Linked DNA regions of Tribolium castaneum. The main gene of each other region encodes a partner of the protein of the gene in region 2 in a complex. Links are inferred from orthologs where the notes say so. Each region holds a gene or a part of one and is shown on either strand. Other genes may lie near its edges.

What was found. The genes of interacting proteins can lie anywhere in the genome.
Region 1: the proteins of thoc5 (region 2) and thoc6 are in contact, whole or in part, in a cryo-EM structure (PDB 7APK), measured with the Homo sapiens proteins. The link is inferred for Tribolium castaneum from reciprocal best matches to the Homo sapiens genes THOC5 and THOC6. Residues at the interface, in NP_001002877.1 of Homo sapiens: Pro406, Gly407, Asp538, Ile539, Val540, Asp541, Ala542, Gly543, Leu544, Ser575, Ile576, Ser593, Asp596, Arg599, Glu602, Gly603, Asn606, Val607, Tyr609, Arg660, Phe662, Arg663, Gly664, Pro665, Ser666, Arg667; in NP_001334633.1 of Homo sapiens: Val5, Pro6, Ala8, Val9, Pro10, Leu11, Gly12, Gln13, Val16, Phe17, Leu20, Gln21, Leu23, His24, Met25, Thr26, Phe28, Tyr45, Tyr80, Asp94, Glu125, Val126, Pro127, Glu128, Asn130, Gly146, Tyr170, His172, Glu188, Trp222.

The regions. Positions count from the first base shown.
Region 1 is NC_087395.1:25,800,727-25,804,007, forward strand, and holds thoc6 (THO complex subunit 6), read left to right. Parts: upstream 1-1,337; 5' UTR 1,338-1,518; coding exon 1,519-1,631; intron 1,632-1,677; coding exon 1,678-2,067; intron 2,068-2,112; coding exon 2,113-2,275; intron 2,276-2,324; coding exon 2,325-2,645; 3' UTR 2,646-2,677; downstream 2,678-3,281. Other genes in the region: DNA oxidative demethylase ALKBH2, read right to left, coding at 1,106-1,121; protein rhomboid, read left to right, coding at 28-201, 254-574, 622-957; uncharacterized protein LOC103314375, read right to left, coding at 2,959-3,281. UniProt on the Homo sapiens protein: Component of the THO subcomplex of the TREX complex which is thought to couple mRNA transcription, processing and nuclear export, and which specifically associates with spliced mRNA and not with unspliced pre-mRNA.
Region 2 is NC_087399.1:3,176,393-3,180,748, reverse strand, and holds thoc5 (THO complex subunit 5 homolog), read right to left. Parts: upstream 2,876-4,356; 5' UTR 2,777-2,875; coding exon 2,693-2,776; intron 2,642-2,692; coding exon 2,504-2,641; intron 2,452-2,503; coding exon 2,237-2,451; intron 2,189-2,236; coding exon 2,104-2,188; intron 2,058-2,103; coding exon 1,385-2,057; intron 1,063-1,384; coding exon 562-1,062; intron 513-561; coding exon 397-512; intron 349-396; coding exon 185-348; intron 139-184; coding exon 75-138; 3' UTR 39-74; downstream 1-38. UniProt on the Homo sapiens protein: Component of the THO subcomplex of the TREX complex which is thought to couple mRNA transcription, processing and nuclear export, and which specifically associates with spliced mRNA and not with unspliced pre-mRNA.

The sequences.
Region 1 (3,281 bases), on a different chromosome or scaffold from region 2:
TCGACCCAAATTTGGTAAATTTTAATTATGCCACCGTCGCAAAAAATCCAAGTGAAATTAACCGACCCCATCGACCCCTTAATCGAAACCGAGCAAGTTTTTATCCCCTTTCCCTTATCACAAGAAGTGAAGAAATCGTCGCAATGGGCCGCTTGGGCAAGAAACACACCTTTCGGTATTTTGTCAGTCAGTGTTTTAGAGGTAAACCAGATTTTTGCATTATTTTTAGCTAATGTTTATGGTAATTCACCAGATAATCTTCTACGCTGCCTCGGATGAAAAAACCCAAAAACTGCTCCGCTTCGAACCGCACAAACTGACCGAAATTTGGCGATTCGTCACCTACATGCTTTTGCACGAAGACTGGATCCACCTGACTCTCAATATTTTCATGCAAGTGCTTTTCGCCTATTTTTTAGAAGCGCGACACGGAAGCGTGCGGATTCTTGTTTTGTACGTGACCGGGGGAATCACCGGAGTCTTGGGAGCGGCCTGTTTTCACCCCGACTTGGTCATTGGGGCCTCCGGGGGCGTGTATGCGCTTTTAATTTCGCACATTTCCGATATTTTTCTAGTAGGTATAAAGCGAGCGAGAAACAACATTTTTGTAATTTTTTTCAGAACTTTGAAACCTTGAATTACAAAATCTACAGATCTGCGTGTATCGGAATAATCGTCATTTTCGACATTATCTACAACGTGTTACATGCCAATTTTAAAAAGGAGCCTTTGATATCGTGGGGGGCCCACATGATCGGGGGCCTCGCAGGCCTGTTTTTGGGTCTAGTGCTCTTCAAGCAAAAACCGTCAATTGCACGCACACGGAGATTAGTTTTATTTTTGGTGGGTTTATTACTTTACGTAATTTTATTGATCTCGCTTGTAATAATAACCGTTCAGATTAAAAAATGTACTCCGAAGGATGCCATACGCAAGCGGTATGTTTATTTTTGCTGATATTTTTTTTATAACGAGTGTTTGGCTATAAATGTGCGGTAGCAAAGTAAAGCGTGAAATTACACAACTTATAGATGTTTGCGGCTATTTTTAGACGTTGGTTTTGTAAAAAAGTGAAAAATAAACGATTAAACAAACTGCTGCTTACTTGGTTGCACGCTCATCACAACACCACTAGCTCAACTGAGATTTTTTTAACGTTTTTAACACTTAAATCTGCGTTTTCTCGTTCTTTTTTTATATCTATACAAATATGTGTACGTTTTAAGGTATATTTTTTACGTTTGTTTTAGAGTTTATAGTATAATATGTTTAATTATGACATAAAAAAAACATAAATAAAGTTAGGTATGCAACTAACTTAACCGCGTTGCATGTTAAGTTGCCTGTATTAAGTCGATTGAGGTTATATTGTTTAATGTTTGGGGCTGTATTTATGTTAAATACACGTTTGCGCCCTTTGTAATCGTATAATTGGTAATAAAACCAGACTTTGTACAGTAATATTGCCTATTAAACGTGCGTTTAATTCACAAAAAGTTATTTTTTCTTAACCTCAAAATGGTGAACAAGTTGAATAAATCGTTCTATAACACTGTTTTGAGCCAGACTTTCACCCCGTGTGGCAACTATCTCGTCGTAGGTGACATTTACGGCACAATTTCGGTCTTCCAGTAAGTATTAAGTAACTTCCAGCAGCCCCCTGAACCCCAGTTCCAGCCTTTCCAAGCTAACAAACCAAGGATCTTCGATCACAAAAGAAGACCAACTGCCCAAAAACGCATTCACGATTAAAGAAGACGTCCAAATCAACAGTTTATTGACCATGAAAGCGTTCCTTGTTGTGGGGACAGTTGGCGAGATTTTGGGGTACTCCTGGAAGAACGTCAAAACGAGCAAAAAACCCTCCTGCTCGTGGACAATTGAAATCCCGAACTCCAAAGACAGTTTCGACAAACCTGACGTTAATTGTTTAGTGTTTGAGCCCGAAAATAATTTATTATTTGCCGCCTGTGGCGATAATAATGTTTACGTTTTCAACATCGAGACACGAAAAGAAGTGCGGTGTTTTAAAGGGCACAAGAATTACGTTCACTGCATCAATTTCTGGTAAGTGATTACAGGAACCTGTACTTTGGTCACATGGCATTTCAGTAACAATAAACTGGTTTCGGGGGGCGAAGACGGGCTTGTGCTGCTATGGGATGTGAGAGGAGGCCCCCCAGTGAGCAAAATCGAGCCCCACAGTAGGGATAAAGTGGCCAGGGTGGAGCTGGGGCCCTGGATAGGGGGCGTTGGGATTAACGATGATTGGCTGGTATGTCAGCAATTTTGGGCGAAGTGGCCCCCCTTAAATGATTTTTTAGTTGTGCGGCGGCGGCCCCCGACTGTCTTTATGGCACTTGCGCTCCCTGAATATCGCCACAGTGTTCCCCATTGACGATAAAGGGATTCATGTGGCGGAGGTCTACCAAGACAGGATTTTCGCAGGGGGGCGCTCTAATTTATTCTACCAAATGAGTTTTAACGGGGACATTATCACGGAAATTCCGACGTCTCCTGTGACCACGTACAGTGCGGTGCATCAGGATGAGCCCTTCCAGACTTTGTGCATTGCGGGGTCGAGCCCCAAAATCGACGTTTGTAGCAACTTTATCTACAAAAATTTGCAACTATCTCTGTATTAAGTCTTTAGTAAAATAATAAACCATAAATAATTCGTCCAGAATTTGAATTTGACAGCTGTCATTGATGCTCTTTAGGTTAGGATAAGGTACCGTTAAAGAGTCAAAAATCGCTCGAATGTGACCCCAAATCGTTTATAACCCTTATTATTTTTTTAAGAACAATTAAGTTACAGTATGGCCAAGTTTGAGTGCTCAAATTGGCGTATTATTGTGTGAAATCGCAAATTTCATATTTAAGTTGGCAGGACTGTATTAAAAGACAATTTAAACTGTTTGAAATAAATTTTTAATAAATAATTTGTACAACTTTTATTTACAAAAATCCGTGTCCGGCTATAACCGCCGGTATGAACCCCTCCTCTCCCTCCTTGTTGCGCACCCAGAACCACCCCGGCACATGGGTACCCTGGAGTACCACAACGTCGCCTTTCTGCACCTGAAGGGCATTTTTTTCGGTGCCAAAGTAGTCACTGTTGATGACTAGGAGTGTTTGTCGTTGGATTTTGCCACGTTTTGAGGATGCCAAAGCGCTGAGGTAGAGTCGATCGACGCTTCTTTCTTCACAGGTGCTTGAGGGGCGCAGTCTTCGGCTGTGGCAGCGCGTCTCGACGCTACATTCCGACTTGGAGCTGAGTT
Region 2 (4,356 bases):
AAGTGTAAAAAGTGCGGCAAAAGTAAAAACACAACACGATTCAAAAAACTCATTTATTTGTCAAAAAAAAAAACTCATTGGGTGTAGACCCCAACCCCAATATTCCTGAATTTGAACGGCTTTCTCCTATTTCTGGCGCTGAAAAACCAAAATTACCCCCAAAAAACAAACTCAAAATCCCTACCAAGTCGATTTAATATACATGGTGTTCTGTTGAAACGTCCCAGGGTCCTCCGTTTCCAGATAAATGTCCAGTCCGACACACAATGACATAATCTGGGCCGACAAAAGCCAATTTGCATTTGAAAATTCGTGGTTCCAATCGACATTAATCGACCGTTCCATGTCCTGTAAAACGAGTGAGACCAACCCAAAAACCCAAAATTACCAACAAACCCGAATATTATCATCATTCTGCGAATGTCTAGTCCCGTTATAGTTCAAACAAAGCGCAAAAATTGGTGGAATTGACGGATAATCGTTCTTGATAACAACAAAAGCTTGCAAATTTGCTAAAATACAAAAAAAACACTAATTAATCACGTGACTCACCAAACTTACCTTTATCACGCGTGATTGTCGCTTTATAGAAAATATCATTCGGCGAAATTAACTCAGCTTCTAGCAAACCCTCCGTAAATTTAGCCTCGCAAAAGCTTTGATACGTCCCTGATGACCATTTCGTAAGACTCGAAATCGTGGTTCGCGGCAAATCGACACTAGCCGGCAAAACAGGAATCACATTCCGCTCCAACTCCTCCAATTGTTTCGCCAAGGCATACCGCGACTTTAGGCGCTTTTTTATTGTTTTCATGACCGACTCGACGTTAGTTTGGCTCAGTTGATCCGAACCGGACATTTTATTCAAAAAATCAATGCCGCACATTTTTTGCGCCCACGTGTAGACGTAGCCAAGCTCTGGGACGAGGCTTTGGAAGGACCCCAAGCCGACTTTTTTCAGTTGGTAAGGGGTGCACGGGTTGGGGCTGTCCAGCCCGAAGTCGCCCTCCACCAGCTCCACGAGGACGCTTTCGTTTGATAAGACCTCACGAGCTGCGTTTCCTGTAAGAAAGACACTCGGGGGTCACTAAAAAAAATTTGCATTTTTTCCTCCATTATAGTAAAAAAGTAAGAAAGTATGATTTTCCCTTTAAAAGCGAGAAGAATTTTTTGCTGCTCACGCTCACGGATATTACGTGAGTATGCAAAATTTCAGCATATTCCGATAATAACAGGACATGACTCAATTGTAAATAGAGACGGAAAACAAACCAAGTAAAAAAGGTGTAGTTTATGTTGTTTTTCCTTATCATTCACAAAATACCTGTAACTATCCGTTTTTTTTTGTCTAAAAGAGGATTTTTGTAGATAGTGGGTCAAGTACCTGTAATATTGCTCGGAATATTGACGCTTGAAGATACAGTGACGATTTCCAATTTTGCGTAATAACTTAGTCGAATTTTAATTGAAGGACCGTCTTTAGTAGTGACAGTAACTTGTACAGAAAGCGGGTGAACTTGTAACAACTTGCGTTTTTTCTCCTCAAGTGGATCAACATGTACCGACTTCCGGTGACGCCGTTTCTTCGTTTCGACAATTTCCTCCACCTCCTGTATCTCAGCTTCCGGTTCCATGTCCTCCTCCTCCTCTTCTTCATCCTCTGCCAACTCCAACTCCTTCCATTGACTAGCCTCCTCCTGGTCCCCCATAATCTCCACACTCATCCCCGAGTCGTTCACCTGTCTGTAGGCGTCAATATTGGCATAAAACAAGTAAAGGGGGTTGGGTAGAAGCGAGGCAAGCTTGTGTTCAGCCTGGATCTTGTCAATGTGGAGCCCCAGGTGCTCCTGCACCGGTTTCGTGGCCTCCATGACCGAAGACAAGAGGGGCCCCAATTTATCCAATTTATTGCGACGTTCGGCAATATCCCCCTCTAGTTTTTTCTTCTCCTCTTCAAGTTTTTTGCACATGTCGGCCAAATGAATACGCTGCTGGAGCTCCCACTCGAGGCGCGCGAGCCGCAGCTCGTGCTTCGCCATTTCGTCGGTTTCATCAAACTAAAATTTTTTTTAAAGTTTTTGAAATTAAAAAAATTAAACCAACTTTTTTGAATTTTGTCGTTAAATTTTTCGGCGCTTCGGCGAGGAACTCCTCAACGGGGACCAGCTCGATGTGCTCGTCTTTAGACCTGAAAGAAATTTTTGGGGGGTTTACACAAAAAGGGGGTTTTCGTTACTTGAACTGGAAACATTTGCGATATTCCGACATCAGATGGTTAGCCTCGTACAACAAGTTCTGATATTGTAAATTAATACTGTCCACTTTTTGTTTTTCCGCAGCCAATTGTTCTTTTGGAAAAACCAAACGCACCTTCTCCATGCGGTTCAGTTTTTTCAAAAGCACCAATAATAGACACACTTCGGTGGTTTTTTCCGTAATTTTAGCCCTGACCTACAAAGCACACCCAAAAAATATACAAAAAAGCGACAAAATTCCAATTTACATCAGACCCACTCTTCATTTTCAGTTCACTTATTTCGGCGAATAAATGCCGAATTTCTTTGCACGTGTTGAAGTAAATCTGAGCGTCGGTATCGTTCGGTCGATTGAGGGCCTCTTTCTCCTCAAATTCGACCGATTTCTGCAAAAAAATCAATAAATGTGATAACCAAAATTAGGGAGGCGTAATTACTTTATAAATGTCGATTTCGGCCTCATTGTCGGCACTAGTCCCACTTTTGCGCTTTTTTTTCAAACTACTTGACTCTTTAACCATTTTTTTAAGCAAAAAAGATTATGTAAACAAGCCGACAAAAAATTTGAGGTTAGAAATGCGCAAACTGACAGACAACAGACGCCATTTTGTTTCAGGACACCACATCTTGGTTTAAACGAATTAATTTCTGTGTTTTTAAATCAAAATCCAAACATTGCGACTTATATTATAAATAATTTGGATAATTTCAATTATTAGTTGTTACGTAATCGGATTATGTAACATTTGGGTCGTTATATAATCATTCAGAGTACCGGACTTGTCGTTCGTGTAAAAACATTAAAAAAAATAAAATCGCACTTTTTAATATCAAGACTGTAAATGGTAATCACTATTGTATTAAGGGCGATTTTCGTGATTATTTCACTAAATATGGGTGAATTGTGAATGGCGCGAAATTTGAACGCGTTTTTACCTGCTTTAATTAAACATCGCGCACTTCTTGCCGCTTTCCGCCCGAATTAAAGCAATTATCGGTCCCCGAATAATTACTTGGCCCAATAAACAGGAGCTATTCTAATCGTGTAAACTTCGTAATTTAATAGTTTTTTGTAGTATTTTTCAATCTCCTTCCAAGTGTTGTTTACACGCGAGCGCTCGTAAAATTCTCCAGGTATAAAATCGAGCAGTGTTAAGATAGGACTTGGATGTTCTTGACTACTCATCCATTTTGCTAAGGACCAGGTTTGCAGTGGCACGTTTCTCTTGTATTGGTTATCGAGGATGTGGACGGGTTCTCAAGATGATAAAAAAGGTGTCGCGTCAGAACTACTACATAGGATCACACGTAGGAAATATTGCTGGACGACGATAAAATTTTATCGCCTGTCCGAAAACACATTATACAAGAGAACGAAAAGCTTTCCGCACGACTTTACGCGAATTAGTTCACCGAGGTATTTCTTAATTTTCTAGACAGACGGTTTATGCCGCAAAAAGAAAACGCCGACTTTAAAACGTTCTGAGACAATTGGGACAAAGTAAAATACGGCATGGGGATTTATTCGCCATTTGAATGCGCCGCCAGAAGTGGCTCCATCTAGCTTTGATGTATTTCCCCCAAAAAATATAAATTTGCAAGCTTTGTTATTAAAAATAAAAAAATTAGATTAATTATTTCGTAATTGTTTCGAGGCATAAAACACCGCTAAACGTTATTAAAACTGCGCAAACATAAATGAAGTGTTTTTGTGTTTTGCTTTGAATTTCATTTAGGTAAACAGTTTTGTTGCCAAACTCGTTACGCTCTTAACACTCCACTATTTTAATAAAAGTTTTACCGCACTATATTCGATTATAAACTGATATTTTCAAGAGGATTTTAAAAATGATTAAATGCGAAAATTTACTATATAATTCGTCACTGAATCCTGTTTTTTTACAGTGGAAAACCAAGGGATATTTTAAAAAAAAAAACGATTTTTATTGAAAAATAAGTTGAAAAAATTGGTAAGCTAAAAATTAAATTCAAATCATATTTTAAACCTCAACTTTATGTCAAAACTCAAATTTCACGCTTTTTTGCAAACGTTGATTTCAGAATTGACTACCAAAGAGCGCAACAACCTTAAGTTTAACAT